Linked DNA regions of Struthio camelus. The protein of the gene in region 2 purifies or fractionates together with the protein of the main gene of each other region. This does not show direct contact. Links are inferred from orthologs where the notes say so. Each region holds a gene or a part of one and is shown on either strand. Other genes may lie near its edges.

Evidence for each region.
Region 1: the proteins of SLX4 (region 2) and RTEL1 purify together in Homo sapiens (affinity purification with mass spectrometry; 3 studies listed by BioGRID, with this or other methods). This does not show direct contact. The link is inferred for Struthio camelus from reciprocal best matches to the Homo sapiens genes SLX4 and RTEL1.
Region 3: the proteins of SLX4 (region 2) and SLX4IP purify together in Homo sapiens (affinity purification with mass spectrometry; 6 studies listed by BioGRID and IntAct, with this or other methods). This does not show direct contact. The link is inferred for Struthio camelus from reciprocal best matches to the Homo sapiens genes SLX4 and SLX4IP.
Region 4: the proteins of SLX4 (region 2) and PGAM5 purify together in Homo sapiens (affinity purification with mass spectrometry; 4 studies listed by BioGRID and IntAct, with this or other methods). This does not show direct contact. The link is inferred for Struthio camelus from reciprocal best matches to the Homo sapiens genes SLX4 and PGAM5.

What each region holds. Positions count from the first base shown.
Region 1 is NC_090959.1:18,012,960-18,020,425, reverse strand, and holds the start of RTEL1 (regulator of telomere elongation helicase 1), read left to right. Parts: upstream 1-4,463; 5' UTR 4,464-4,530; intron 4,531-4,992; 5' UTR 4,993-5,014; coding exon 5,015-5,116; intron 5,117-6,369; coding exon 6,370-6,568; intron 6,569-6,927; coding exon 6,928-7,021; intron 7,022-7,466. UniProt on the Homo sapiens protein: A probable ATP-dependent DNA helicase implicated in telomere-length regulation, DNA repair and the maintenance of genomic stability. Acts as an anti-recombinase to counteract toxic recombination and limit crossover during meiosis.
Region 2 is NC_090956.1:18,640,897-18,647,928, forward strand, and holds the start of SLX4 (structure-specific endonuclease subunit SLX4), read left to right. Parts: upstream 1-4,018; 5' UTR 4,019-4,173; intron 4,174-5,697; exon of another isoform or gene 5,698-7,032. UniProt on the Homo sapiens protein: Regulatory subunit that interacts with and increases the activity of different structure-specific endonucleases.
Region 3 is NC_090944.1:129,058,778-129,066,707, forward strand, and holds the start of SLX4IP (protein SLX4IP), read right to left. Parts: upstream 3,013-7,930; 5' UTR 2,991-3,012; coding exon of another isoform or gene 2,964-2,990; intron 2,587-2,963; exon of another isoform or gene 2,560-2,586; intron 1-2,559.
Region 4 is NC_090958.1:11,689,496-11,697,141, reverse strand, and holds the start of PGAM5 (serine/threonine-protein phosphatase PGAM5, mitochondrial), read right to left. Parts: upstream 3,011-7,646; 5' UTR 2,982-3,010; coding exon 2,686-2,981; intron 1-2,685. UniProt on the Homo sapiens protein: Mitochondrial serine/threonine phosphatase that dephosphorylates various substrates and thus plays a role in different biological processes including cellular senescence or mitophagy. Modulates cellular senescence by regulating mitochondrial dynamics.

The DNA.
Region 1 (7,466 bases), on a different chromosome or scaffold from region 2:
AAAGACAAACAAACCAGTTTACAAGAGTATATACATGCAAACTGTTAAGGGTGGCTCGTCTATTAATTTTGAAGAACAGAAATGTCTTTTGGAACCAAAGAAAGAAAAATCACGACCTGATAGAGAAAACTATCTCCTCAATACACAACACATCCCCAAATCAGAGACCCATAGTAATCCTCCTTGTGTTTCATTATAGGAGACAGTCGTCTAGGGCAACAGTTCACAAAGGAAGATTTGCAGGCTGTGGCTGTTACAAGAAGGGTTACAGGCATGGCAGAACCACACTTCTTTATATTATTATTTGTGGCTCTAAGTCTTGCACAAGTAGGGCTTCCAAGAAGAAACATTTGGGAAAAAATTAATCTAGTGACTAACGAAATAAGGTTGAAGGATGACAAACACCTAGTCTAAAAGGAAAAGCACGGATTGCCATATATTACTCTAATACAACAGTGTAGGTATGGCAATAGTGCAGCCATGAGACCTTCCAGTACCATTTGCAGTCTCAAGAAGCTAGGAGAAGCTGACTTAGTTGGCATGAAATAATAAAAATCCCACATAGGGCAGCAATTAACCCTCCTCAAATTATTAAATAACAGTCGAGAATGGAGATAAAGACGGTCATTGTCAAGCAAGAAAGCTATCTGAGCCCAGCCTGAAGTAACTGCAACTGAGAAAGAGAAACCAGTGATAACAACATCAGCACTAAATCAGGAAAATGTTTCCCTAAGGCAAGGGAAACAACAGAGTTATTCTGAACGTTTCCTCTTTGGTATCTATCATGTGCATCTGCGAAACGAGGCCAAACTGTGCAAAGGATCTGGATCATGAGGAAGAGGAGGAGATGTATTAATTTAGTCACTTAAAAGTGTAAAGCAAGCTAGGAATTCAGGTCACCACAGAGTCTGCTCAGTTAGAACTGGTCAAGGTTGTACAAAAAAAGTTAGCAGTGCAAAACGAGATAACTGACTGAGGAACAACAACTGGTAAAGAATAGAAAATTTTGAGCACGTGAAGCTGTGTCTAGTTCTGGCTTCAACCATGATTTGTCACGTGGCTTTCACCAAGTCACTAATCTCATCTGCTTCAGTTTCCTCATCATAAAATGGGTATTTCATTATCCACCTAATAACAGGATGATTGTGATTAAAATTTGAGTGCCAAAGAGAAAGCAGTTTTACTTCATGTATTTCCCAACAGTAAAAAGACAGCAGGGCTCGGGATTATCTGGATTCAAAGGAATCAAATAATTATATGGTCAAACAAAAGTTTTAGATGGTTACCATGGGAACCATTACATGTCCTCAGAAGGACAATGAATGGCAACTTAATCCTCTTGTATCTAAAAGGAGAAAAATGCATGAATAGCAGTGGTCTCACGGTTGGTCACCGCTGCTCTTCAATGTATTCGGTCCTGTTCCTCAAGATTCTTGCTTGTCAAGGAGGAGAAATCCTGCATGGGTGCCCCCCCCCCCCCAAACAAAAGTGAAAATTACTCTCCTTGTACTTCTGCATTCTACAAGCTTTCTACTTACAGGATTCTCTGCGTAGTGAGGTTCAGCCACTCACACATCCACTTCCCTACAGAGTTTTAGGATTATCTTCTGCAAGATTTTTCTTTTGTACATTTTTTCCTTATAGACATGTTTTACTTTCTGTTGCCCACTTCAAATGAAAACTAGTTCATCCAAGATCTTCACCATCTACTAATGTGAGAAAGCACTGTGTGGAACCTCTGGTAGGCTGCACTGCCTATAGGACGGATCAGCATGAAGAAGCCATTAATGGTACAGGGACTGGCCTGTCATTATCCTCCATGCCACTCCAAAAATTCTCCTCTTTCCCCTCCTTTTCCCTCCCCAAACCCATGGCTTATACAATCGCAGGTTTTATCCTAGGGAGCTAAATCCCAGAATGAGAACCCAGGAATGAGAATGATGTCCGTACGTGTATGTGACAACAATGTTCTGGCTTTAGTAAACCTCTAACATTCTCTTCCAACTTGAATGAGGAATAAATCTTTCTCTTTAAACTTACAAGATTTTGTTTGCTCTCTTCCCAGTTTTTAGAAGAAATTGGTGAAGCAATGATAAAAACAGACTGGATGATGCTGGCACTGCAGACTTGGTCAAGTAAGGTAAATGGTGCAGAGAAATAACCCTCCAGAGCGATAAACAGCACTCAGCCAGTGCTGAGTCATATCTTTCCCTGGACAATAGCGCACCTGCTGAATCATATTCCTTTTTGGGTTTGGGAACTTTCCAACTCTTCTCCCTCTAAGGTAACACTGCTTAAATCAACGTTACTTAAATAGTAGTGAAAATAATCTGATTTTACACAACATTTATATTCCTCTTCAAAGCATGAAACATACATTTACAGGGAACAATGACAGAAAAGGCAGGGAATATTCAATAGGTTTATGGCCAGTTTTAAACCTTTATTCTCCATTACAAATACCTTATCCCACACCTTCACAGCATCCCATCAGTTCCTACAAACTCATTTCTTTTGCAGTTTAGTCTTGTATGACTGGTATCAAGTGAAAGAGTTAATACGTTCAGAGATATGAACAAAATCGCTTGTTACATTTTGTGTTGAGCACAGTGAAGAACAAAAGGAGTAACTCAAAATCAAATGACACCAAAAGACTGTATTTTAACGCTCTCAAACCGTAAAAAAACAAGGACTGTTTGAATGACTTTTCTGCAATTATTCAAAATCAAGTCTGACATATCAAACAACCTTAGACGTTCTGTCCTTAGCAACATTTTCCTTAGGCATTCTTCAATTACAGATGCCCCACTCCACAAACAACTGTCTTTTCTCACAGACATACAAGAATATAGAAAACTTATTATGCCTGAGGTATAGCGACCCATATTAATAGAGTACTCCCAATCACACCTTATTAAGTTCAGCTTTGTATTGCAAGAGCTGGAAAACTGAGGCTTATAAACCACAGAACAACTGCTAGCACCCAACTCCAGTGTGCTTTGTTGTACTTCTGTAGCCTACTAGCTACAATTCAAAACAGCTTACAGACAGACAAGTTCAGCTCGGGGAGATTCAAGACTGGTAACCAAAAGAGCAGGATATGTAAGCTTCGCTATCTGAATTCTTGGAAGACACAGAATATACCAGAAGTTTGAGATCAGATGGCACAATACACTCACATTTAAGGTCACATTTTTTCTTCTCTTGAAATATTAGAATACTTCTACATACAGACATTACCCCTTGCAACTTGGTAAGGGCATTTGTAAAGTTTCAGTAATACGACGCTACATCCTGTTTTACACTTATATAGTAACCATCTAACAGCGTAGGAACTTGAAATGACTTACAGGGAGATGTGGTGTGTGATAAAAGATTTTCTTCTACCTTCTTCCTTATATAATTGCGTAAAATATGATTTTGCAAAATTTTGTGATCCAGGCAAACCACGTCCATTTATTCAAATAGTTGGATGGCTTGCTAGAATCTTACAAGCACTGGCTCATCCATCATTCCAGAACGGTTCAGAATTCATTACAGTCACATAGGGGTGGAACCCACCCTTAGTCTGAGCAATTGAAATTCCAGCACAGCCATTCCAGGCCACATGCACTGACATAAAGACAGGAAACTGAAGGCTGAAAGGAAAGCAGAGAACGAAGGAGCAGGACATTCATCCCTAACGATACCCATCAGAATTCAGATACCCATCAGAATTCACTACTGTTTGCGATGCAGAGACTGCAAGGCGCAATATAATGAAATAAAACCCCTTGTACTGAGAGCATGGAGAGTTTCAACACAGAATCCCGTAGGAGTCTGCGTTCTCCCTGTAGGCACTACCACCGGAGGGTGGCAGACAGGCGGCATAAAGCAGAACGGTGTGCTGGAGAGAAAAACTGGTCAAGGAGATGACCTCCTACATAGGCCCCCTGGCCTTTCATGAAAGAGAGGGAGAGAAATCCGGCCTCAACCAGCTACCGTGAAGGAGCACTCAGACGCTTAGGGGGAACCCAGCAGGTTTAAAAAAGCATGAGAAACGTCACCGTTTTGCTGCTTTTTGCAAGCAAACGGTCTATCTACCGCCTCTTTGCGGCCAGGCTTCCCGCACTAGGACGGAAAGGAGAAGCAGCTGGGGGGCCCGAAGCGCTTCCCGACTTTCCCGCTGCCATCACGCAGCTCCCGCTGCGGAGCGGCCCCCCGGCCCCGGCTCCTGCCCGGGACCTGCTCCGTACTGCCGGCCTCAGGCAGGGCCTAACCTGGCCCCACAGCCCCGCCGCCGCGCACGGGGTGGGGGGGGTGAGAGGGAGGTCGCCAGCCCCCTGCCAGCGCCGCCGCGCGGGCGGCACCGCGAGCGGCGGCAAACGGGCCCCGCCGCCACAGCCGGGGCCTACCGGGCCCCGCCGCTCGCCGCCCCGTTCCCGTGGCAACGCCGCAAGCCTCGCGAGAGCGGGCGCGGCGGAAGTGACGCGGCGGAAGGAGCCCGGGCACGTGACGCAGGCGCGGGGATTCTGAACGGTGGCGCGCGAGGTGAGGCTGCGGCGGCGCCCGCGTCCCCATGGCAACCGGGGGGAGCGGCGGGGGGGGGTCTCGGCGGCGCGGGCAGGGCCGAGGGAGGCTCCGCCGGTGCCACCGGGGCGCCCGGGTGCCGGAGGGTGGGCGCAGCGAGGGGCGCTGTCAGGGAAGCGGCCCTGTCCTGGGAAGGGCCTGTGAGGGCCGCGGGGAAGCACCGGGGTCCGGCCCCCCCGGGGAACGTGAACGTGGCGGCCGGGTCCTCCGGTGAGCCCGCTGCGCCGGGCCCCTGCGCGCCCCGCCCGGGCTGCGGAGCGGATTTGCTGCTAACGTGTTAGAGGCCCCGATTTTGTGAGGGGGAGACGGGCCATTTCGGGCGCTTGTTATGCAAACGAGCATCCGGCTCATTGCTCGAGGCGCTGTCGGGCGCGCGGGCTCCTCCTAGCGTCGTGTTACTGCAGATCACGCGCATGCCCTTAGTTTCAGGTGCCTTGCGGAAAACATGCCTAAGGTTACTCTAAATGGCATCACCGTGGATTTTCCTTTCCAACCGTACAAGTGCCAGGAAGCGTACATGGCCAAAGTGCTCGAGTGTCTGCAGAAGGTGAGTGCTGGGAGGTGCCGGCGGCGTGCTGCTCCTTGCAGCCAAGGGGCTCTGGCGCAGCAGTTTTTCCTCTGCTAAAATTTAATTCTTGACTGTGTTACAAGTCAGATCTACAGCAGCTTAGTTCCTAGGTGTATCTTAGTTCATTTACTACGCGTATCTCATTTCTAGCTGTGAAAAGGGGTTCCTTAAAAAAGGAGTCATGATTCAAGTTTACTTCTTGTTGTCTGTATACTGCCTTTTTCAATTTTTTCTGATTTTATTTGTAATTTTATTTTAGTATACAGTTATTAAAAACCCAGAAATGGGCAAGTGTTGTATCTCTCAGTAGAAATGAGGACAGGCTATTTCTGCCTAATGTGGGAAAAGGAAGAAAAATTAAGGAAGTAGTTCTTATGTTCGTGCACTCTATCCTTAGAAGTTTTGCTTTTGTATTGTTAGTGAATTGTACTATTAGTGTAAGTTGCCCTTCTAGCTACGATAATGTAATCTTACTGAATGAATGTCAAATAAGGAATGGTTTTTACAATAGTTATTTTTGTTCTGGAATTGGTAAACACGATCTCCAAGGTCCTTGCTTCTTCTGAGAGATGAAACAGAAGCTTAGGCTTTCCATGATAGCTCAGCATTCCTCAGGATCATAGGCAAGGGCTTGGTCCTTCTCATGTGGTAGTAAAACTTATATAAGCCTGTTACATGAATAAATTCTTTTAGTGTGCTTACCATGATTTGTCTCAGCTGTGCAAGCTCACCTGTTATTTATAATGCAGTTTGTGAAAACACTTGGAAATTGGAATGTCCAGTAGAGCTAGATATTTAGAAATGGACCTGCTTGCCAAACTTTCTGCTGAAACTATGTCTAGATTTTGTGATGCAGGATATAGTCATCGTTCTAGGGAAAATAAGCATTCTATAATCTAAGAATCAATTTCTATTTTTTGGAGTAATTTCTAATATTTGTGTGCCTTTTATGCTGAAATGTGATGCATTCTATTTAGCAGAGGCATTTTCCATCCTTATAGTAAATAAAGGATAACAGTTGTCTCTGGATTTTAGCCTGAGTTTCACTGAGCTGATTAGAGGTCACAGGTCTTGCATGTAAAAACTTTGTGGGGTATGTGTTTCTGTCATATGGTATACTTTCCTGCATAGTGAATTCTCTTTTACTGGGAAAATGCTGTACTGCACGATGATCTATTCTAGTTGAATATCCAATATACTCATTTTTTTCATTCTATTTCTTTTCAATAAAGAAGGTAAATGGCATTCTGGAGAGCCCTACAGGCACAGGAAAGACACTGTGCCTTCTGTGTTCCACTCTGGCTTGGCGGGAACACTTTAAAGATACTATTTCAGCCCGCAAAATTGCACAACGTATGAACGGAGTGGAGCTCTTTCCTGACAGACCCATGTCATCCTGGGGCAATGCTGCTGTGGATGCTGATGTCCCAGGTAAGTACGTTTTATCGCTCCCACTGAGCATAAAATCAGGAATGTTAATGAACGCTTTTGACTTTACCTATCTCTTACAATGAGTATATAGTCATAAAAGCTATGGAAGCATTGTTTGGCAGCTGAAGCACAATTTCGTACTATTTCATAGGTTTTTAAAGGTGTCTTATGTATTTTTAATTTTCTTAGAACATTAGAAATCTCTTTAGCTCATTTCTTTTGTGTGAGTAGTTAGATGATAAAATTTCTTGCTGCCTCTATAAAACAAATTGTTACAATGGCACCACAGGGAAGGGAGACTAATGATATCTTTAGTTCTTTCTCTGCTAATAATTTTTTTTTTCCTCTCTATGTAACAGCTTATTACACTGACGTTCCTAAAATAATTTATGCCTCCAGAACTCACTCACAACTTACGCAAGTCATTAATGAATTAAAGAACACAGTCTACAGGTAAATATGATTATGATACTGCTTCTATCCCAAGAAAAAGGGGAGGAACCCAGCTATTTCAATAAGTATTTGAATTTGTGTGGATGAATGTATAAAACAATTGATACCGACTGAAATGCAGTTCTCTTAATGTGCATGTATAGAACCTGGATTTCTTTGATTTTTTTTTTTTTTTTTTTTGTGATCCCCCCCCCCCCACCCCCAATAGTTCACAGCTTTTCTTTTCTTATCATCTCCTTCTATCTTAGAATTTTCTGAATTCACTCTGGTTCTGGTTCTCCACTTATATTTACTTCTGAAATTCCAGGTGGGAGGAAGCGCGGAGGATTTTTTTTTTTTCCCCTATCTCCTTAAATCCTATAAGCTTTTTCTGAACTTGAGACAAAAGAATTCATTAGATTGCTGTGGGTTTTTTGGCTCGGGGAGAGTAAATTTTTCCAGTTTA
Region 2 (7,032 bases):
GTTTTTAGAGAGACTTTTAGTACACATCTAATGCCCAATGCCCTTATTGATTGCTGGTGATTCTTCTTGGAAATTGTATTTGATTTCACTGTCAAAGAGAACAAGAGAAAAAAATTTATTTTATAACAAATTCATTGGAAGTGTATCCTCTCTAACTTGTGCTGTGTGACTTATGGAACGGGAATGTGCAGTTAATCTGGCAGGTTTACAAGAGGAGACAGGAATATATGCTGGCATGCACCATCCCAAAGTTCACAGTTTAGGGAAAAAAGATAACTATTCTCGAGGAAAATGCTGCATTGTTGCTTGCTTTGTCCTTTCAAGAGAGTCAGTGCACAGAGCATTGTGCTGAGCTCCATCATCCAACATGGTCAAAGCTCATGAGATCCTGTGAAGGGCAGGTTAAACCTAAACTTTACTCAGTCTTCCCATCCACTGTTATTAAACTAGGCCCCTTCACTGCTTCTCTGATGGTTTCTGACCTGGACTGAGCCAATTTGTATTGGAAGCTTCAAAAAGTTAGTCTGAAGTTGCCAAACAGCCACCAGAGTTACAAGTCTTTATAATAGATCAGGGGAACTGCTTGTCACACTGAGCAGAGAGAGCAGAGAGAAACACAAATTTTAAGATGTGCTTAATTTAGCATTCTGGGGATACATGTGTATATGTATAGATGATCTACAATGTGTGCATTTTTTATATATATATGTTTATATATTTAGTGTAAATAGCATTGCACTGTGACTTCAGGCCCAGCTGTTTTTAAAATACTTTTAATATTGGAAATACTGACTATACTGAACACGATCATAGTTATCTAGAGAGAAAGCTCAAAAATAAAGCATGATAGTAAATATCCTGTCCTTTGCAACATATATCAGAAGTGTTGCTATTTCAAGGATCTCTCTGCACCTATATAACTGTGTAATGGGAGGGTACTAATAGTGTGTATTTCTAATTAAGTCAAAATTTTCATGGCAGAGTTTAAAGCACTGGGGCCCTACATTCATGCTTTAGGCATGTCTGTAGAAGTGGCTTCACTTCCACTAGTCTGTGTTTTTCTTACCTCTTCAGTTCTTGAGCCCTGCCAGCCCAGCACGTCATCCCTGTCCCGTGTTACTGCTCCAAACCATTTTTAGCCATTTTTTTCTGGCTGAAGTTCAATAGGAAGCTGTTGTCTCCCAGCTCCCTGCACTGAGCCAGGAGAGCCAGCGCTGCCTGCTTGGCAGGAACCGTGTGTACCCTTACCCCCGAGTCGCTGTCCCTCTCCAGCCCCACTGCCCTCCGGAGGCTCTGGGGCCTCTGGTAGCCAGAAGGTGATATTGCAGCCTCTTGGTCAGCCCTGCTGTGCTGGCAGGCCCTAAGTGAACAGCCACAAACTCCACCAGCTGGGAGAGCTGCGGCTGCTGTTTCAACGCAGAGAAGACTTTGTGATTGGGGGCCGGTCGGTCATCTCTGATGCAGACCTTTTCCTTAACGGGAAGAAAAAGTGAATTCTTAAAAAGATTATTAACGAAAGTCCCGTAGGTCAGCTATCTTCCCCTACATAAATAGGGAATCAGATATCCTGCCTCTGAGCAGCTGCGTGATTTTGGGAGAGCTCCTTCCTCTCTCTATACCTGTTATTGCGGCTGCATCTTCCAGATATTCTTAAGTTCCAAATAGTGAATAAAGCCTTTTGTAGCAACCATGTCCTTGTTGCCGTTCAGCAATGGTTAGAGGCATAGAAATGTCCTGTGAAATAGATACCAGTTTGGTAAGCAGTAGGTATTGTCAAATCTCTGTGCTTTGGAGCTTACCTGTATAAAAATGCCACAATTCAGCTGGTTCTTTTTAAGTGCAGATTTTTAAAAAAATGCAATAGAAGGGATCAAGGTCGCAGTGTTGTCTGGCAGCAGCGGCGTGGAGGCTGGTCTCTAGCTGAAGATGGTGCATGTTCACTGTGTTCAGTGTCAGTTGCTGTAACGCTGCTGGGCAATTTCACGGATCGCAGGTGCGGACAGGGTTTGCAGGCTGTCTGGCTTCTTGTGGAGAAACCGCTTGACGTCCTCTTGCCGCCTACCTCGATGGCATCTATCAAAGAGGACACAGACTTCGGGGCTCAATACCAGCAAGGGTTATGGCTGTAGCTGGGAGGAGAGGAACGCGATCTGGCACTTGCAGAAAGCTTGAGTTTTACCTGGGCTATTTGTCAGGGTCTCCTCTCCTGCTCGTTCCCTGCCTCACTTCATCTATTTGAAAACACAGGTAAGAATATGAAGGCAAAAGTAAGGCTGTTTGGCATAATTTAGTGCTCCCTCTAGATTAGATTCCCTGCTTCTCTAATGCTTAGTTTGGATTTTTATTTTAAACGTTTGGTGCTCAAGAATTGCATTTATGGTATCGTGCAACAAAAAGTTACTGTGACCTGGCTTAGTAGTAATCGTGGAACCAGTGCAATGTCTCAGGACATCATAACTGGAGTATTTTCAGTATGTTTGTGCAATATTTGCTTCTAAGTTATTGCAGGATTTTCTTAAGAGCGCTTCTAATTCCCATAAAGCGTAGCAACTTGAGAGAGGACTCGAATAAACTAGCAGACGTGTTGAAAGACACAAACCAAAGGATTTCTTCATATCAGTTTTGGTTCTGGTTCTGCCATGCGGACATGGGCAGATTCTGTCTCCTGGGGAGATTCACTGCATAAAATATTCTGTTAAATCTTGCCAAAATCACCAAGGGCGCTGCTTTTTGCTTAACATTCAAGCTAAAATTGTTTGAATTCAGCATGGATTAAAAATTAAATTGCTTTACTGGTACTGAAAAAATATGGTGTCTCAGTAGCTCATTTTGTTTTAAAAGTTGTAGTTTTTTTTTTTTCCCTAGAAAATTTCCAAACTGGCAAGACTATAACAGTGTCAAATTGTTGTGGTAATGTCAAATTTTAGGGATCAAGATGTAATTACGGAAAAATAAATGCTGATGCACATAAAGGAGCCATCAGGATGCTTACATTTAGTAGCATTATTGTTAGTAAAGTACTTGATGTTTTTGAAGCAAACTAATAGGGCTGTCCTTAGCAGCATATGGAAGACGCTGTGGCTGTCAAACGTCTGTATGCCCATTCAGAAACGTTACCTAGTAGTAGCCTTGGGTCTTACTGCATCCATGCCAAGCTTTAAGGAAAAACTCCGCTTCCGACACAGAAACCTGCACTGAGAACGGAAACCCAGCGTAGGAAGAAGCCCCCTGCCTCTCTGGTGCTTTGATTACCTGAAGACCTTTAGCCACAACTAACTGCTCACCTGGAGGAAATTGCTTTTGAACACAGCTCAGAGTTTAAAATTCAGTATGAGATCTCAGAGCCTGGACTGAGCGGTGTGAAAGCTTGACATCCATTTTCCTTTTCGACCCCAGGTAGTAAAAAGTACGAAATACGAAGGTAACGCTCTCTCGCTTGACCCAGGAGCCCGGGGAAGCTGGAGGTACAGCGCTGCTCACCTTCCGTGTCAGTACTGCCACCCATGTCCTGCTGAGGACCAAACCGCTCGTTACATCCCCAAAGCACTACAATTATATTGGTCTTCAGCGGCGGCTTTGTAGCCCACCAATGAGTATAGGGCAGGTTTTATCCGGGCAGCTGAAGGAGTGAGTTTTTGGCGCTCACAAGCAAATGTTACGTCTTTATGTCCTCAACATTCATATGCTTCTACAGCTGCGTGTTTCCAAGGATTTTAATTCTTTTCAAAAAAAAAAAAAGGGCAACGCTCTGCTACATGTTTTCACCTGAGACCTGTTCACCTGTGTGGCAGCCGCGGGCCCCGCTCAAGCGCTCCTGTATTTTACTCTTCCCGCGGTTGCGGCGGGGGGCGGCGGGGCTGCCCGCCCCGGGGCGGGTTTCCCTCAGCGGCCGCCGCCCACCGACGCGCGGCGCGGAAGGGCCGCGAGCAGCCGGCGACCGTTGGGCCGGCTGACGGCGGGCCGTCACCATGGCAACCGCTCCCGCGGCGGGAAACCTTTGCGCCTGCGCGGGGAAGGCGCGGCCCAGGCCGAGCGCGCGTGCGCAAGCCGCCCGGGAAGGGGGGGTCGGGGAGACGGTTGGCGCGCGGCGCATGCGCTTCGCCTCAGTGTCGGCGCTCCCCGCCGTTGTGGCAGGGCGCGAGGAGCGGAGGGAGCCCGTGGCCCGGCGGAGAGGTCAGCGCCGGGCGGCGGGCCGGGGGCGGCTGTGGCGGCGGGCCGAGCGGGCGCGGCGGCACCGGGCGCTCCGCCCTGTCAGCGGCGGCCGCGCGGGCCGCGCCTCTGTGGGGCCGGCGGCGGGCGGGCGGTTGGCGTGACGTCACTCCGCCGCCGCCGCCATCGGCGCTCCCCGGCGCGGCGCCACCTGCCGGCGGGGAGGCGGCGGCGCCGCGGCCTGCGAGAGAGGGCGAGGTGCGGAGCTGGGTCGCCGCGGGCCCCTCGGGCCTGGACAGGGCGAGGCGCTGCCGGCGGGGGCGGCATGGGCCCCGCGCCTGCACCCGCCCCGGGCGCTTCCAGCCGGGCCGCGGGGCCCTGACGCCTTGGGGGAGGCTGCTTCGCGGGCCGCGGGGTCGGACTCCGAAGGGCAGCTCCTTGCTGCGCTGCGGCCGCCCCGTGGGGCGAAGCCTCAGCCCTTGGCGTCACCTGCCGTCAAAAGCAAACAAGAGTTGGGGGTCAAGCGGAGCCGAAGTTGTTCAATGGAGGGCCGGATAAGGCGGGTGCGCCGTCGGCGGCGGCCCTGCGCCAAGGTGTGCCTGATGTCAGCCGGCTGGGTGTTCCAGGCAAACTCCCCGCGCCACGCTGAGCGCGGCGGTAACGTCCAGGGCTGCTGGGGAGATCCAGTAAAAACTGAAACAACCGTCAACGATTCTGTTGGCTGCTTCGTGAAGCAATAAAGAATTGTATCTATCGCTTCCAGGCCCAAGGGGCCTGGGGCAAAAGGGCCCACCTTGAGCGGAAACAGGCAGTGCTGGCTGTTCTAATGGCAGGACTGTGCCCCTGATCCTGCAGATGTGCAGGTGCACATCTAGTAGCCATGATGATCTTAAATAAAGCAGAAATTGTGCATTTGCAGGGCTAAAATATTTCTTATTTGTAATAAATAGTTTGATGCTAGTAATGCCCGAAGGCAACAACTTTAATTCATGCTCAGTCTACTGGCTGCTGTATAAACTCAAAAATCGTAGGCTGGGTACAGTCGCTGCTCTAATTACAAAAAGATCCTGGTTTGGTTAGCTTTCACATCTCCTTCAGATCCTACTCCTCATCTCCCTCCTGGTCCGTCCCCTCCCCTTTGGTTTGGCTGTTTGGCTTGAAACAGTTTTCTCTGTATCTAGGAAATGTTATATTGCTTTGCACTGTGGGGATGTGTCAGCAGCAGATTGGAAACAGAAACAAAAGAAATTTTATCATAAGCTTTACATTCGGAAGAAAACGGACCTCAAGTTCTTCTGAGCGTTTGCTTTTCCCACTGGCTCAATTTTTGTTAAAGCTTTTTCCAAAGGAGGTGTCAAATGGTAGAAAATAGCAATTTAAACAGGATATTTGACACTTTATTGTGCGCTCGTGAACCTCCAACTATGCTTCGGGGTCCTCAATTGTGTTTAAGGCCCTTCCTCAGAGTTTCTAGAAAGAATTTTCCTGAAAGCTAAACATAGAGGAACTGACTTAGTAGTCTGTGAGCTGACCTCTTGCTCTTATTAGTAGGCTACGGAACAGACACATTTATGCATCCCTGAGATTATTGGTGTGATAACCAGAGGTTCCTGGAGTGCTCATATCAAGTTTGTAGGTAATGATATATTTATATATTGAGGATGTCAAGGACTTAAGTTAGTAAAAGGAAAAAGTAGTTTAATGTAAAGACATGTAAAAATCTATTCTGAGAACTGTAAACCAAGCCTATCTACTTCCAATATACTTTGTTAGTATGGAGAACAGGTATGATAGGGCAGAATCAGCTTAAAGCAATTTACCTACAAGATACTATGTTATGTATTTTACTGTAGCTCTTATATATTATTTTAGCTGGGAAGAGAGCAAATTATACATTACTGTAAATTAATTAAATGTTAGTGTAAAAGACCTAGGTTTAGTCTGCCTGTGGAAATCTGTGATGAATTTGGTCACCTTTCAAAGCAGGTATCTTACTGTTGTGGAGAATGCGGAAAAATCAAAATACTGTGTTAAATTTCACTATATGTTTGGCTTTTGTGATGACATAGATTTTGACATAATCTAAAATCAGAAGATAAACTTTTTGAAAACTATTGATAGAATGTACATTGTTTTAAGTAACCATCCCCTTCAGTATTTAATGCCCTTTAGAATAACACTGCACTCTTGAAAAGAAATGGCTTGCATATTTAACAATAAAATCTTCTTATTTCTCTTTATAGTCACTTCCTCACTGATTATTCAGTTGATCTCTTTCCACAAACATCTGTAACTCTTGATTGCTGTGTTCTTGATCATTCTTTATCCTACCAAATGATGGAATCCTCTGAAATGATCAAAATTGTTGCTGTCTGAGTTGGGTCAGAAACCTGGGGTAAGGTAACAGTGTGGTCACTCGTGATGGAGTAGGTAAGGCTTTTTTCTTTGTGCCGAAAGGGCAGTTGGAAAGAAAGTCTTTCCTAAGCTATGTGCTGCTAATGCTGCGTTATCTGTAGGTAACCTCTCTGGTTTGTGAATGAATTGTGCTACAGGTTCACTGTAGCAATGCCGCTGCTGTTTTCACTAGTGCCAAGCAGGAAACACAACCTTTTGGCTGCTCTACTTACCAAGGTGGCCACAGAATCAGATACGGACCCTCCCATTAGTCTGATGTCAGGGCTCTTAACTCCTTTGTAGTTACTGGATAGACTTGCCTATCCTGTGAGTATGGCCTGTGCTCCTGTTCCTAAAATATGACTTTGTATTGAGATTTATATTGCATGCCTGTGCTAGTTTGTCACGCGGTGTGCGTTGTTCTGCCTCAGTCTGTCATCAACGCTGTCTAGCAGGTCCCTTGTTCGTGTCATCAGACAGCTTGATCAG
Region 3 (7,930 bases), on a different chromosome or scaffold from region 2:
ATACAGAATGTGGAAAAGGGGACAGGCCACTTGGGAGGAATATAAGGGCACTGTCAGAGTATGCAGGGATGCAACCAGGAAAGCTCAGGCCCATTTGGAATTAAATCTGGCAAGGGATGTCCAGGACAACAAGAAGGGCTTCACAGAATCACAGAATCGTTTAGGTTGGAAGGGACCTCTGGAGATCATCTAGTCCAACCCCCCTGTTCAAGCAGGGTCACCTAGAACATATTGCCCAGGATCACATCCAGACGGCTTTTGAATATCTCCAGGGAAGGAGACTCCACCACCTCTCTGGGCAACCTGTTCCAATGCTCTGTCACCCTCACAGCGAAGAAGTTTTTTCTCAGGTTCAGATGGAACTTCCTGTGGTTCCTGTGGCTTCTCAAATATATCAATAGCAAAAGGAAGACTAGGTAAATTGTGGGCCCGCTGCTGAATGGGTTGGGTGCCCTGGTGATGAAGGATACAGAGGAGGAAGAGCTGCTGAATGCCTTCTTTGCTTCAGTCTGTACTGCTAAGACCAGCCCTCAGGAATTCCAGACCTTGGAGACAAGACAGAAAGTCTGGAGAAAGGAAGACTCTCCCTTGGTCGAGGAAGATCGGGTTAGAGATCATTTGTGCAAACTTGACATCCACAAGACCACGGGCCCTGATGGGATGCACCACGAGTGCTGAGGGAGCTGGCGGATGTTATCGCTAGGCCACTCTCCATCATCTTGGAAAGGTCCTGGAGATCAGGAGAGGTGCCTGAGGACTGGAAGAAAGCCATTCTCACTCCAGCCTTCCAAAAGGGCAAGAAGGAGGAGCCAGGAAACTACAGGCCTGTCAGCCTCACCTCCATCCCGGGAAAGGTGATGGAACAGCTCCTCCTGGAGGTCATCACTAAGCATGTGCAGGACAAGAAGGTGATCAGGAGTCAGCACAAATTTACCAAAGGGGAATCATGCTTGACCAACCTGATAGCCTTCTCGGATGGGATGACTGGCTGGGTAGATGAGGGCAGAGCAGTGGATGTTGTCTGCCTGGACTTCAGCAAGGCTTTTGACACTGTCTCCCATCACATCCTCCTAGGTAAGCTCAGGAAGTGTGGGCTGGATGAGTGGACAGTGAGGTGGATTGAGAAGTGGCTGGATGGCCGAGCTCAGAGGGTTGTGGTGAATAGCGCAGAGTCAAGTTGGAGGCCTGTGGCTAGTGGTGTCCCCCAGGGCTCAGTCCTGGGCCCAGTCTTGTTCAATATATTCCTCAATGACCTGGAGGAAGGGACAGAGTGCACCCTCAGCAAGTCTGCTGATGATACTAAACTGGGGGGAGTGGCTGATACCCCAGAGGGCTGTGCTGCCATTCAGAGGGACCTGGACAGGCTGGAGAGGTGGGCGGAGGGGAACCTCCTGAAGTTCAACAAAGTCAAGCGCAGGGTCCTGCACCAAGGGAGAAATAATCCCATGCACCAGTACAGGCTGGGGGCTGACCTGCTGGAAAGTAACTCTGCCGAGAAGGACCTGGGAGTGCTGGTGGACAACAAGGTAAGCATGAGCCAGCCATGTGCCCTTGTGGCCAAGAAGGCCAATGGTCTCCTGGGGTGCACGAGGAAGAGCATCGCCAGCAGGTCGAGGGAGGTGATCCTGCCCCTCTACTCAGCCCTGGTGAGGCCTCACCTGGAGTACTGTGTCCAGTTCTGGGCTCCCCACTACAAGAGACATGGCACTCCTGGAGAGAGTCCAGCGGAGGGCTACAAAGATGCTGAGGGGACTGGAGCATCTCTCCTCTGAAGGAAAGGGTGAGGGAGCTGGGCCTGTTCAGCCTGCAGAAGAGAAGACTGAGGGGGATCTCATAAATGTGTACAAGTATCTGAAGGGAGGGTGTCAAGAGGATGGGGCCAGTCTCTCCTCCGTGGTGCCCAGCAATAGGATGAAAAGCAACAGGCACAAACAAACACAGGCAGTTCCGTCTGAACATGAGGAAAAACTTCTTCACTGTGAGGGTGACAGAGCACTGGAACAGGTTGCCCAGGGAGGTTGTCACCTTCCCTGCAGATATTCAAAACCCGCCTGGATGCAATCCTGTGCAATGTGCTCTAGGTGTTCCTGCTTGAGCAGGGGGGTTGGACTAGATATCTCCAGAGGTCCCTTCCAACCTTGGCCATTCTGTGATTCTACAGTCTCTTCTGTGAAGAAAATTCTTGGGAAAACCATTTCCAAGAGTACTGTATTGCTCTAATCACCTAGAAATGCAGGCATTGCACTACCCCAAACAGATAAACAGAAACAGAAAAGAGGGTCCAAAAGAGAAGGTTGCATAATTTTTACAGGAAAACTTGCTCTGTGGTTTAGTTACTAGTGAGCTGAACAAGTTAAGGCAGAATGTTTATTACAGAATGTTTTGAAAAGCATTACTCTTCAGATATATACCCAAATGTTAGAGACTGTTTGCAAAATAAACTGCAAAAGCACGTTACTGGATGTTAGTAAGATGTCTAATGCCTGAAAATGGGGAAAAAGATGAACTAAGATGCAAATGAAGAGTCAAGAGTGATAAAGAGTTTAAGAATATTATTACCCTTTAAATCAGGAACTCTTGGATTATCTGGGGAAAAGATGAATAACCGCAAAATTACAGTATGAGAAGAATCAACACTAAATTTCAGTTCAGGTAGGTAATGCTGTTTTATTGAGAATTCATGCAGTTACTAGTTCTAACTATAAAACTAATCACTATTAGGTACTTGTGACTATTTAATCTTCAGCTGAAAGGACCCCAAACACACTCTGCCATGATATAGCAGTGCTTGAAAGAGTTTGCTTCCCAAGAGAGAGGAAAACTGAAATGAATTATGCTACCATGACCAGAAGTCTAAAGGATGCATCTCGTCTTCATTAACTTTTAAAATCCATGTATAAATACTCTACTTAGTATTATTATCAGGATTTTTTTTTAAATGAAAGTTACAAAATTCTACTTACCTTAATGACAAATTTGCTAGATGCCATGATAGTTCAATGTAAACTGGTCCTATAAAAATATCAATTAAAAATGATCAGCACAAGAAAGAACTCAGATCTCTATGCCAAGCGACAAGGATATTTTTCATCTTGTCAATACTAAAAAAAAAACTAGTTGATTTTGTGAGTACTGCTGCTTTTCACACCTTATACTCCGCCAAGGAAAACTCTTACATAAAGAGAATTGCATAGCGACCTATCTTGTTTTCTTTTAATGAGCTTCATTACCATTCAGGTACAGAGCATCCAACACCTGAAAAAGAATACAGAACTATTTTTCACACCAGTACCGAGACACAGACAAACTAACCTTACTCACCCACAAGAAGCCTTTGGGAGAGCAGCAAACTGAACTTGGAAAATTACCCTAACTACTGTCTCATTCTCTGGCCCCTATCTGTATGGTTCCAGCCTGGTTTCTCTTTCAAAGTAATAGCTTTCAGCTAAAATTCCTTTGCATAGCTCAAAGAAAAAAAGAATAAGGAAGAAAAGAGGGAAAGAAAAACACATACACACAGAGATGGAAAAATAAAAATCCTGGAGCTACTTGTTTAAAAAAAAAAAATTAGCATATGAAATAATACTTGCTCTGTTCAACAGAGTCCTCAAACCTTTCATTCTCAGTGAAGCTCAGTCCCTCCTACCTCATGGAAACTCCATCCTTATTAATCTCGGGAGCCTACAAGCAGCCTGTCTATGTCCTATTGCATGCACCTCACCGGCCCTATAGAAATAACTTCCTCCATCATGCTCTCTTAACAGGAACTTTGCTTACTGCTGCTTGATGTTGCTAATTTCAGAATTAAGAAAACCATTCCCTACTTGCAGTTCTGATAACCAGCTGCATCAGAGTTTGAACAAGTTCAAAAACAAAGCAGAGGGTTTTTTTTCTTTTGAAACTATTGTTTCCGGTCAGCTTTTTGACAGAAGATCTACCTAGTATATTTATTTATTTAAATTTTATACTATTATACATATAACAGAAAAGTGACCCAAGCATTCTTTTCTCTGTACAAAAAGAAAACAAATTTCAGACATCCGCTTCTCCTTCTTATTCCAGTGTTTAGATTGCTTAATTTGAGTTACTGACTAAGGGGTACCCAGCTGCACAGATCCTGGCCCTGCCTCAGACCACTCCAGTTAGCTTAGGAAGAATCCATTCACCCTGAAAGCTAAACATGCCCTTCACTGGGTATGAGAGAAAAGTTCCAGAAACTCCTACTATTAAGAGACTCCACAATTAACATAATTCCTGGATCTTGAAATCTGTTCTACTCTCCAGGGGACAGTTAGATTTACAGATTTTATCAATATTGTTAATCACTAAGAACTTTTTTAGATGAACAATAGCCTCCCTCAAATGTCCACAGGTTTTAAGTAGGCTTGCAATTCAAATCATAGCTCTAGTCACCTTCTAAACAGATTTCAGTTTTTTAATTGCCTTTTTCCCAACTTACAACGCAGTTAGGGACACAGCACTGAAACTACTAGGGGAAGATCATCTCTCTCCACAATAATGGGAGCTAAATATTCATTTGTCAAAACATAATACAGTTGCTGAGCGGGAAGAATAGGTAAAAAATTTTCCAGCTAACGCCAAAGAGTTAGGATTCAGAAGAGACATGGAATGGGCTGATGGCACCATTTTTATACCTTTGAAAAATAGGGAATAAAAGGTTAAGATGTATACTGTTTTCACACAGTATGGGACCAAAGGCAACAGACAAGGAAGGGACCTAGACTGGAGAGAAAATCAGGTGAACAAGGGTCTCAGTACGCTGGCAGAAGAACGAGTACCCAAACACACAGCTCAAGCTTCAAAACCAAGGAAGCAGGCAAGCTCTTGTAGCTGCTGCCTGTGATATATGAACTGCAACAGAAAGCACACGGACAACAAAGTTGCCTTTTATGTTCTAAAACCTTCTAAAGAATTAGTTTCTTAATAAGCTAGAGAAGTCGGGACAATTTGGTAAGAGATAGTACAGGAAAAGAATATAAATGGAGAAACACATTCCAGTTTGTCACTGCATACGTCAAGTTACTGCAAATCACTCTGACAGAGATGTCAAAAATTCAGAATATAAGTCAGGTCAGCAAGGTCTCTGCCACGAACTACACTTAAATATTTCAAAATGCAGTCATTATCCCTATTTAACTTCAAAAAATTGTGAAACAGGATAAAGAACCACTGAAGAACTGCATAGCATAGCAGAGATAATTTTGATCTGAAAACTGACCAGCAATAGTTTTGAACTAAACAATTACTTGTGTGCAGTTTTTCCCATCCTAAACACCTAAGTGTTGAGACATGACATCTGAAAACAACTACATGAAAACGTGAAAGCAGCAAGACCACAATCCCACATCCTGGCTCAGAGAAAACTCCCAACGATTTCAATGATTTGCCTATATATAACGTCAATATCCAAGCAGTAAGAAACAGAAATAGTAAAAAGATCACAGTGAGAAGTAAACTAGCTTCTTATCTGTCTCTTTTATGTAACAAAGTATATTACTGTAACCAGATACAAATGATTTTGAACTGAGTTATTCTACAAGTAACTACTGAAAATGAAATTTAATATAATAAAAATTAATGCTTCCACTATGCTCTGAAAAGCTTAGAAACAGAGGATTCACATCTATTGTACCACATCAGCTACACAGTAAGAGTAAGCAGAGAGTAATACAAAGTAAATCAAGTTTTCAAATAAGAGCAACACACACAGAAGGTGGGATGCCATGCCATGCTTTCTGCCACATAAACTAGCATTCTCCCTCACACAAAATAGTCCTAGAAACTTTGTTATTTGAGTAAACTCTGTCAACTTTATTGACAACAATTTCCAGAAAAACAAAGTAGGGAACGGTGCTCTGGACCACTTGGAATATCACATCATTTGCTCTGTTTCAGTTCACAGTGGTAGTAAAGTGGAAGTAGAAGTAAACCTAGTAGAACTACTGTAAGAATCTTAGTAGAAAATAAAAACCTAGTAATGCTTGAAATAGCAGTCGCTAGAACTAGGTTGCAATAGAAGCTAAAACAAAATGGCAGCCAGCAAAGTGAAAACCAACTGAACTCTTCAGCTTCTTATATGGTGCACAACATCATATTACTAGCATTCAAGAACTCCACGGAAGGTGCATCATGCAAAAGTGAAAATCAAATAAAATACATAAAACATCTGTCAAAATACTACAAAACCTGGGTAACTATGACTCTTCAGATTCTCTTAAAAAAAAAAAAAAAAAAAAAACTTGCTTCCAAATTAACAGCGACATTTCAGAGCTTGTGTTTTTTATTTTATTTTAATAAAAGTTTAGTATCAGAGCTTTAATAATAATCCCTAGCTTTCCCCCTGAACCAAAAAGAAAAAAAAGGAAAAATAGGAAAAACAGTGGCAGAGAAATAACAACCAAATCTTAATTTGCTGTGGAGTATACCATCAACTAAGAGCTCCTGCAACAGCACCAGCGATATTAAATAAACTTTTAAAATATTTACACTGAATGACCTCTACCTTGGAATATGGTTAGCAAAAGCTCAGAATGATAGCATGCAAGGTAGTTTACCATATCCAGCCCAGAAAATGACATACATAGGAGCATAGGCAAGCTCCTATGTTCCTGGAAGCACGCGGCACATGACTCACAAGGTTGCTGCAGGCTTGTGAACTCAAGGACAATATTTGGACTGTTAATGTTTTATCACTAATTCTTACAGTAGCGATGATACGAATAAGAGTTGCAAAAAAACATACCAGAACATTACCTCCCCACCATACGCTCATGTCCCTCTTGAAAACAAACAAGACATGGGGATGAACCAGCTGATATTATTCTGGCATCACAAGACTTTCTTAGCCTAACTTTGCCACCCAGAACACTACTATTGCAACAAATATGCTACTGCAGTGAAAAAGGAGCTTTGGCAGACAAAAATTACTCTCCAAATCCAGTTTACAAAACTACGGAAGACAAAAAGATGTGCAAGGAAAATTGTCCTTGATTCAATTTCCACTGCATGCGAGTAAGCCAATTTTCTGACTACATCATCTTCTTCACTGGCAGTACACAGGAGGCAAAGGAAATACAGAAGACATAAAAGCTGTAAACCAATCTGTAAAACAACAAAAAGAATATGCCTAATGTGTCCATCAGGAAAATCACAGATCTGTCAGAGATGAAAAAAGATCAGAAACTCAGAGATCAAAAAGAAACCTAATAACAACAGGGAATGAGAAAACTACCTATCACTTTTACAAGAAAAGAAGCCGGCAACCCATGGAAAACTTAGCTTTGATATTTTCTATGTTGCAAAAAACATGAAAGGTAGCGAACTACTACAGCTGCTACTGTTTGGTGACAAAAATCTGTTTCCTAGAATACCGTATCTGTCACAAACTAATCTAAGCCTGAAAAGTAATTTGGGCATAAGGAAATGTGGAAATAAGCAAATACACTAGAAAAACTCCTCTCAGAAATTAGTCATATTAAAAAAAAAAAAAAAGTAAAAAAGAAGTCTAGACCTGGTATTTCAACACTCAAATTTCTGATGGCCAACCTATACAAGAAAGCAAAATCTAGGATTAAACACCTAGGTTCCCTTTAGCAAGAGTCAGACATGTTTCAAAAATGATGCAGTCTTTCTTTCCTAAATTTGAGGTTAAGTGGAATGGTGGAAACTCAGTAGAAGGCAGGAGATATGGCCTCTCAGAGAGCTAAGGTGTTTTTATTTTCTTTTTTTTTATTCGCTTAAATCAGCTTGTGAACAGTATCTTACCTTTGCAAAGAAGCTGCTTCCAGCGCTGAGGGAATTTGGAACTCACTGGGAATCAGGAACTGAAAACGCCAGCCACACAAAAGCCAACTTCTAATACTTTGGTAGCACTGCTGCAAACTTTTCACATTCTGCCCATTTTTGGGTG
Region 4 (7,646 bases), on a different chromosome or scaffold from region 2:
TCTATTTGACTAAGAGGCTCAACATGTTCATTAAACTGTTAAGAAAGGTCTTTGTTAAGAACTTTCATACAAAGCATTAAAAAATGAAGCAACAGTCCTATAATACGAAGTTCCATTAAAATTACACAGAATACTTTTTTTTATTCATTAGAAACTATACTGTTAGGAAGATACCTTAGAAAAACAGAAAGAATATCCGAAAAATTCAAGTGGATTTCTAAAGCAAAGCGGAGATTTATCCATCCTACGGCATAAACCCATGACAAGAAATGCCTCAGTCAAGGTCCTCCCCTCTCTCCTCCACCAGTAGGTCTGAATTTACTTGATGGTAACACATGCTGTGAAGAGCAGCAGATATTTTAACAAGCCCTGAGAAGAGAACTAAGCTTAACAGGATTTTTAGCATAAAACAGTTTTAGAAAGTTACGTGCAGGAAAATTTGTAATACTGCTGAAGCTTATCTTAAATAGGTTTTTAGGCCTCTGAAGTTCAGAGGCCAACAAATGTGGTTTTCTGCATTCCCCTAACAAAGTTCATCTAAGTTTGTAGCAGGACACAACTTTGCTGAAACATAATGGCAATGCCAGGGTCTCTCTTTAGACCTGATTACACCCAATTCCTCTTCTCCAGGAAGCCCTGCAAGTCACTGAAACATATCAGTCGTCCTGACAGTTTTTTCAATTTGTGTGTGTAGCATATGTAGAAATCCAGGTATTTCTAGATCTCATAAAGCTATTTTGAAGGACCATTCAAAAAATAAAGGAAGTCATCCAAAGCACAGAAACTTAAGACAATAATTCAAGGCTTTTTTCCTTCACTTCAAGCTTTCTATTTAATAGAAAACTAATTAGAATAGCTTTCAGATTAAGTGTTTTGCAGGAAATGAAACTATCTAGTCTTCAAAAACTGAGCTGTGCAATTCTTGCACAAGTGGCACAGACCAATGCAACATCTTTGATATAGTATATCAGGTTAACAGAAAGTTTGAAAGCAGACACTGCTGCATTGTGCTGCTTAAAACTTCAAACTTTCTGAACTGTTACAAGAATATTATAATAGCCAGTTATCTGCTCATGAATTGACTTTGTCATTTTTTTTTCCAAAAGAGAAATGGTCAGATGTTCACATATTTATAAGCCTAGGTATTTAACAAATTTACCTATAAATGTTGCTGCAAACCTCACACAAGAAGTGGAGCTAAGAAGGTTTCAAGCAGATAAAGCAAATGGTGGTACCAAGCGGTACCACACCAATTGGTGGACATCATATAGTACAAAACTAAACTTGCTCTGCACTAATATATTTGTGTAATATACAGCCATTATTGTACACTGTAATGAATGGTGATGCAGTACTCTATCATTAACTGTACTGTTAAATGTCTTCTAGCTGGTATTTGTTTAAGCAGTTCTGACAGCTACATCAGCTATAGCACAATCTCTACTCCCTGTATCAGGAGTATTGAGATACCAGAAAAAGGTCTGAAAGTTCACCTGCCCTTACAGCAAGCCAACTATTTAGCAGAACCAGGATCTACAATTAAGTAAGTAGTTTTAGTACCCATTTAACTAGAAATAACCATATTTAATGAAAGTCACTATGATTTTCATAATTAGGGCACACAGAGCCCTACTTATATGTGTATTTGATTCTGTTGCATCTCAAAAATCAAATCAGGATGCATTATACAATAGAAATCTGTTAGTGCTTAAGTTTGGATTTACTATGATTAAATAGGAGCCTGACATAAGTCTCCCTGGGGAGATAATTCTACCAGCCAGAAGCTGAATAAGCCAAAGCTCAATATAGAAAATTTGCACATCCTAAGTGCAGAATCAGAAGAGAGAGTTAACCCTTGCGTGAACACAGACAACACTATTAAGAACATAATCAAATTACAGCTCAAAGCAACATTACTCATACTTACTTGCAGTGCCAGGGTCAACATAACTAGCAGGCCTCCTACATGCCTAGTATGTAAAAACAGTCCGCAAGGAGGTTGCTATTAAAAAGAAACACCTTTGTGCAGAAACGAAGCAACTCTGAAATAAGGTTGACACTGGGTTAAAAAAAAAGTAGATAAGCCTTCTGAACACTTGGGTTTTGATAAGCACAAGCACTAAGGCTTTGCAATCTCATGACATAGCTTTATCGTAATTCTTTTATCTGCGCGGTTTTTTTTTTTTTTCAAACGGGGGGGGAAGCCTCTGAACCGTCCAAACGAAAACACGGGGAAGACCTTCCTCCCGAGCACTCCCCTGCCTAACCAGGGCTAGGCTCAGCGGTCTCAGCCGCGCTGCAGCAGCTCACGGCCCGCGCTCGGCCGGGGCAGCCCCGCCGCCTCGCTCCGCCGGGCCGGGGCGCGTCCGGCGGCTTTCGGGGGGCGAGCGAAGGGCCTCCCTGCTAAACGAGAGGCCTCCCAAACTCTTGGCAAAGCACCCGCCGACCCCCAGTCCCTCAGGCACCGCCTTCCTCTCCCCAAACTACCAGGCAGTTGCCAGCTTCCCGATATTCAGCTGCACTCCCCCCCCCACACACACTCGACTTCAGTGTATGTTCTTGACCCTCTCGAGGGCGGCAGCGGCTGCCGAACGGTCACTCGTGTAAAAAACCGGTGAAGCCGGAGGCTCCACGCTTGCGACCGACCCGAGCAGGCCCCGCCGCCGCCGCGCCCCCGGCGCCCACCTGTCCCAGTTGCTGTCCCAGAAGCCGCCGGTGCCCGCGGGCCTCTCGATCCAGCCGGGGGCCGGCGGGCAGGAGGCGGCGGCGGGCGGCGGCGGCGGCAGCAGCAGCAAACCCGGCGGCGCCGCGGGGGCGGCGGGCACGGCGGTGGTGGCGGCGGGCACGGCGCTCCCCGGCCGCGGCTCGGCATCGCCGCCGCCGCCGCGGGCCGGCTGCTTGGCCACGGCCACGGCGGAGAAGAGCACGGAGCCGCCGGCCAGCCCGCAGGCGGCCAGCGCCAGGGCGCGGCGGAACGACATGGCGCGGGCGGCGGCCGCCGGCCCTCACCTCAGCCCCGGCGCCGCGCGAGCCGCAGCGCGAGCGCGCCCAGCCCCGCCCCCGACGGGGAGCCGCGCGGGGCAAACTTCCTCCGCGCAGCGCCCCGCCGCGGCCGGGCGGGCGGGGGTCTGCGCCACGGCGTCGGACGGGCGGTGGAGGCCCCAGCTGGAGGCCCGGTCCCGTTCGGCCCGGTGCAAACTGGTTCCTGCTCCGGCCGGGCTACTGGTGGCCCAGTGTGAGGGTGCTCACACCGCTTACCCCCAGGGTGTTGAAGGGGGTGAAGCCCAAGCGAGAGGCGCAGCTGAGAGGGGCCCGGGGGGCGGGCTGCCCCCCGCTGCCCTCGAGGGCCTCATGCGGAGGCCTGGCTAGAGCCACCGTCTCCGGCTTGGCCTCCTTTAACCGCCTTGATTTACCGTTGCCGGCGCGAGCGCTGCTCGGTACGAACAGGCGATTGCAACTTTCATCAGGAAAAACATGCTTGCTATTTAGTTACAAGGCCAGAGCTCCTGGTGTTGGAAACCACGATCGAGGGTTTTCGGAAGCAGCAGCAGTCGTCGCTCAGCTGGTTTGCACGGAGTGGAGCTAGCTTGCCCCGGAGCTCGTAGCCGTCCCCGCGTAGGAGGAATTAGCTGTGCTCTGCCAGCAGCCGGGCAGTCCTCTCCCGCCTAAAGCACCGCTCCTACCACCAACAGCAACCCGTCGCTTCACAAGGAGCCTCCTCTTGGGAGCAAGAGCTCCGCTTAGCTCCCTCGCTATTGCGTTACGTAGAGGAAACAGTGTGGTTAAACTGGAAAAGTAATCATCTGCAGGTCACTAGTAATATGCTCTTTTGACCTGGAGGATGGAGTGAGCACCAAAGCAGGTCCGGGTCAGGATCCAGTGGTACTGCCGCATTCAAAAGTACACAACTCTTCAAAGGCGGATGCTGTCTAAACTTAAAAAAACACAGAAGACAAAAGTAGGGGTCGAAGGAAAAATTTGTTAATGGTTAAAATTAATGACTCAAAATTACCTGAGCTGCCTTTAAATTAACGTGCTTGGGTACTAGTAAAGTCTGTCCATAACTGCATGACTCTCCGTACAGGTTAATTTACCTTACTCCAACCACGTATTTCTGCATATGTGCATTTTTTCTTATGTCCTCTGGATCAGGAAAAAGAAAGATTTAAATTTTTGCGGTCAGACTGATACATCTGTCAAGCCTTCATCTTTACCAGCAGTTCCTTCTGCATTCTTCCCCCCCAAAAATACCTCTCTAACAAAGCAGAGTTCCAAAAGAAACAGCCCCAGTTTTTCTCTCCAGTTCACAGTCTGCTATGGGTATTGATTTTTATGCAGCAAGCACTCAAGTACTGTGTCAATAAAACATCTATGGAAAATATTCTATTAGCGGTGGCAGACTTTCCAGCTAGTAGCCTCAGCAGGATCTTCTCCCTTTTCTATGCAGACAGACAAGTCTTGTCTCCCGGAAGATCTGTCAGAAACTGAGATCTGAGACCATTAAAATGAAAAATGAAAAATACATCAGTTTGGGGAAGGGGTTGTAAAGAGGAACTAACTTCAGTTTTGTTTATGCCCTCAAATTTAGTACCATTTTATGAGACAAACCACATTATAAATTGACACTGTAAATCCAAAGCCAGAGTCTTAACACCCTTCAGCCTCACGTTTGTCTTAGGAAATTACAGTCTCCTACTATCTATCACAGGGGATTGCTCAGTAGGTTTCAGGAATGCATACTCTTCTCTTTCATGCCATGCCACGTTCCTGTTACTTAGCCAGAACTTACTATAAATGTGATTTCAGTGCTAAATTTCAAATGATCTCTTGAGCAATCCTTTATAGCTTTGTAGGAATTTATTTGCAAGCTGAAAAACACAGAAGCCTCAGGGAAAGATAAGCAGAATACAGCTCTTTTCTTCTGATCTATCTCCCAAAATTCAGCACAGACTTCTGCCTGTTAAACTCAGTGGTTTGCATAAGGTGAGAAAAATGCTACTCAATCTGAGTCTCAGGATGCTGGCAGATTTTACAGATTCTGTTGTCCAGACTTCGCATACTTAATTGTGCGTTCTTATCGTTCCTGTCCGCCTGTTCAAGCTTTTCCTCCCTATCCACATTCCCCACGCTACAAACTGCACTGTTTGTAGTATTCCACTAACATGCCAGCTAGTTACACAGCTTCCAACAGCAAGATCTCAGTCAGTGTGAGTGAATCCAGAATAACCGAAAATAGATTCACTTCCTTCCCCCAACCATGCATAAATTCATTCTGCTTAGTCTTGGTGCTAACGTGCGTCATCGTTCTGAGGGACTTAACAGGAGAACTGCGAGGACATTGTGCCGGCCCAAAAGAAAATGGTCTTGCCGCTAAAGGAGTTAAACCCCTTTCCAGCGTTTCCAGCTTGAATGTCTTTCCCTTGTCCGCCACTTTGTGTCTCTGCCTCACACATGTAAAGTGCAGAATAAGAAACTATATTTCAGGTCCTCTGACTCTTGGACGGTTTGAAGATCAATAGTGGCCCCCGCAGGTCAGACAAATGAACCGGAGATACTGTTACTACAGATGAGCTCTCCCAACACACCTTTTTTGGCCTGCCTCATTATCCGTATTTAAGGTATTCCGCATTCACTTTCTTCTCATACAGCTTTAAAATTTAAATTAGATCATTTTCCTTCAGTTTAATCTTGGAAGTATTAGCCCTTAGCATAGAGGTGTACTGTATTTGTACTGTACATGTTCTTTCTTGTTAAGAGCCCAGAAGGAAGATGTTTACTTGCAAAAATTCTCATGCAATTCTTATAAACCCCACTGTTCTTTTTCACCACACGTCAGTCTCCTAGCTTCCTGCAAAATACTTCTAATGCTTTTTTCCCCACAATGCCCTTTCCCTTTTATCCCCAGTAACACTCGTTTTTATCCTGCCTCTTCCCCTGCAGCCTACCACCTAACCAGAATCCCAGTTGCCATCTTTAATATCTAACACCTGATGGAAGAGGGGAGCCTGAGCAAGGGGCCTGCGCATGTTAAAACTGCGTGAGATACCATCGAGCCGTGTGGGGACAGGGGCAGGCTGAAGCTGGATGGGACAAATGTTACAGTTCCTTAAAAATCTCTAAAGTACTTGAACTAAAGTCTGAAATCACAGGGGTTCATTCTGCAATCTCAGTGCTATCAAAGGTGCATTGATTGGAGCCCTCACAAAATGTCCAGCGCTTGAGGTCAAAATGCCAGGACAGACGGAGGCCAGTCTGCCGCGCGCACAGCCACAGCAGCAGCCTACACCCAACCCAGCCCACTGCCAGAAAAGTTTGAAACTGTTGTTAAGCAGTTTTCAGAACTGTTCCCTCAGCAAAAATCTGCTGAACATCTGGGCAATCTCACTGTGCAACAGAATGAAAATGCATAATATTGATTGTTTGCCTCAGAGCTGCGTTTTGGATGTCGTTCTACTGTGATAACACTTCACCATCAGAAACTTCCTGTGCAAACGCTCACATTCTGCAGCTTATTTTTCCTTACTTTAAGAGCTACTATACACTTTATATGCAAAAGTCTTTTGAGATTATTTTAGCTCATGTGCTGTAAGTCCAAAGATGTTATTTTCAATTAGATTATTTTTACTGTTTTGTAAAGCATATAACTCAATTAAGTTTTAAAAAAATACTCTAAAAACAATATGTTGAAGTGTTACCACTAGCTTGAACATGCAGTCTTGCCTTAGTTACATCAATAATGTTTAACATTTGGCTCTTTGTTTTTTTATATTAATCTTGCCACTGTTCTAATCCAGTTTTATTGTGTTGTGCTCCATCTATGAGCAGAAAATCCACCTAAGAGGATAACGGCGTACTGATGGGGCTCGCTAATGGAATTATTCTGTTAGCTAAAAGAGTAGATGCCTGTGCTATTGATGCCACAGGTCCGATACTCGGATGATTCCCAGCGGTGTTATGCCATTTCTACGGCTGGATGCGGAGATACCTTCCAGCAAGGTGCCCAGTGATGTAACTGGATGAACTACAGAAATACGGCTCTTAACTGTGCTGTATCCAGGACAAAGCGAAACAAAGTCAGTAAGGGCCTTGCAGGGAAACAGCAGGAGCAGAGGCAGCCCTCGGGGTTAATCTCACTACAGGGGGAATACGAAGAACTTCTGTTTTCGGTATGGGACCTGGATCGCGGCAGGGATGAGTCAGTGCTTGGATGTTTTACCGCCAGCCGCAGGGAGAGCAAGGGCAGGTCTCTAGCCCACAACTGGCAAGTGAAATCAATGAACTTTGAGCCTTTTTTTTTTTTAATAAAACAATTAGAGTAATAAAAGGACTTTTGAAATGAAGAAATGTCTTTTTGAAAAGCCTTTTCCATGACCCCAGGCACATTTACTCACCATGTGTCATCTTTCCAGTGTAACAATTGTAGCTGTAAATTTATCAGTGAAAGATAGAAAGAGAGGAAAGAAAGAAAAAGAGAGAGAGAGCAAAGGAGAGAGACAGGAGAGAGAGAAAGAGAAAGAAACAGAGAAAGAGAGAGAGAAAGAGAAAAAGAGGAGAAAAGGAAATGTTTGATCCAAGTGTATTCAGACATATACTGTGGACTTACTGCTGGCCTTCTTAAAGGAAACACTGATGTCATCCCTGGCCTG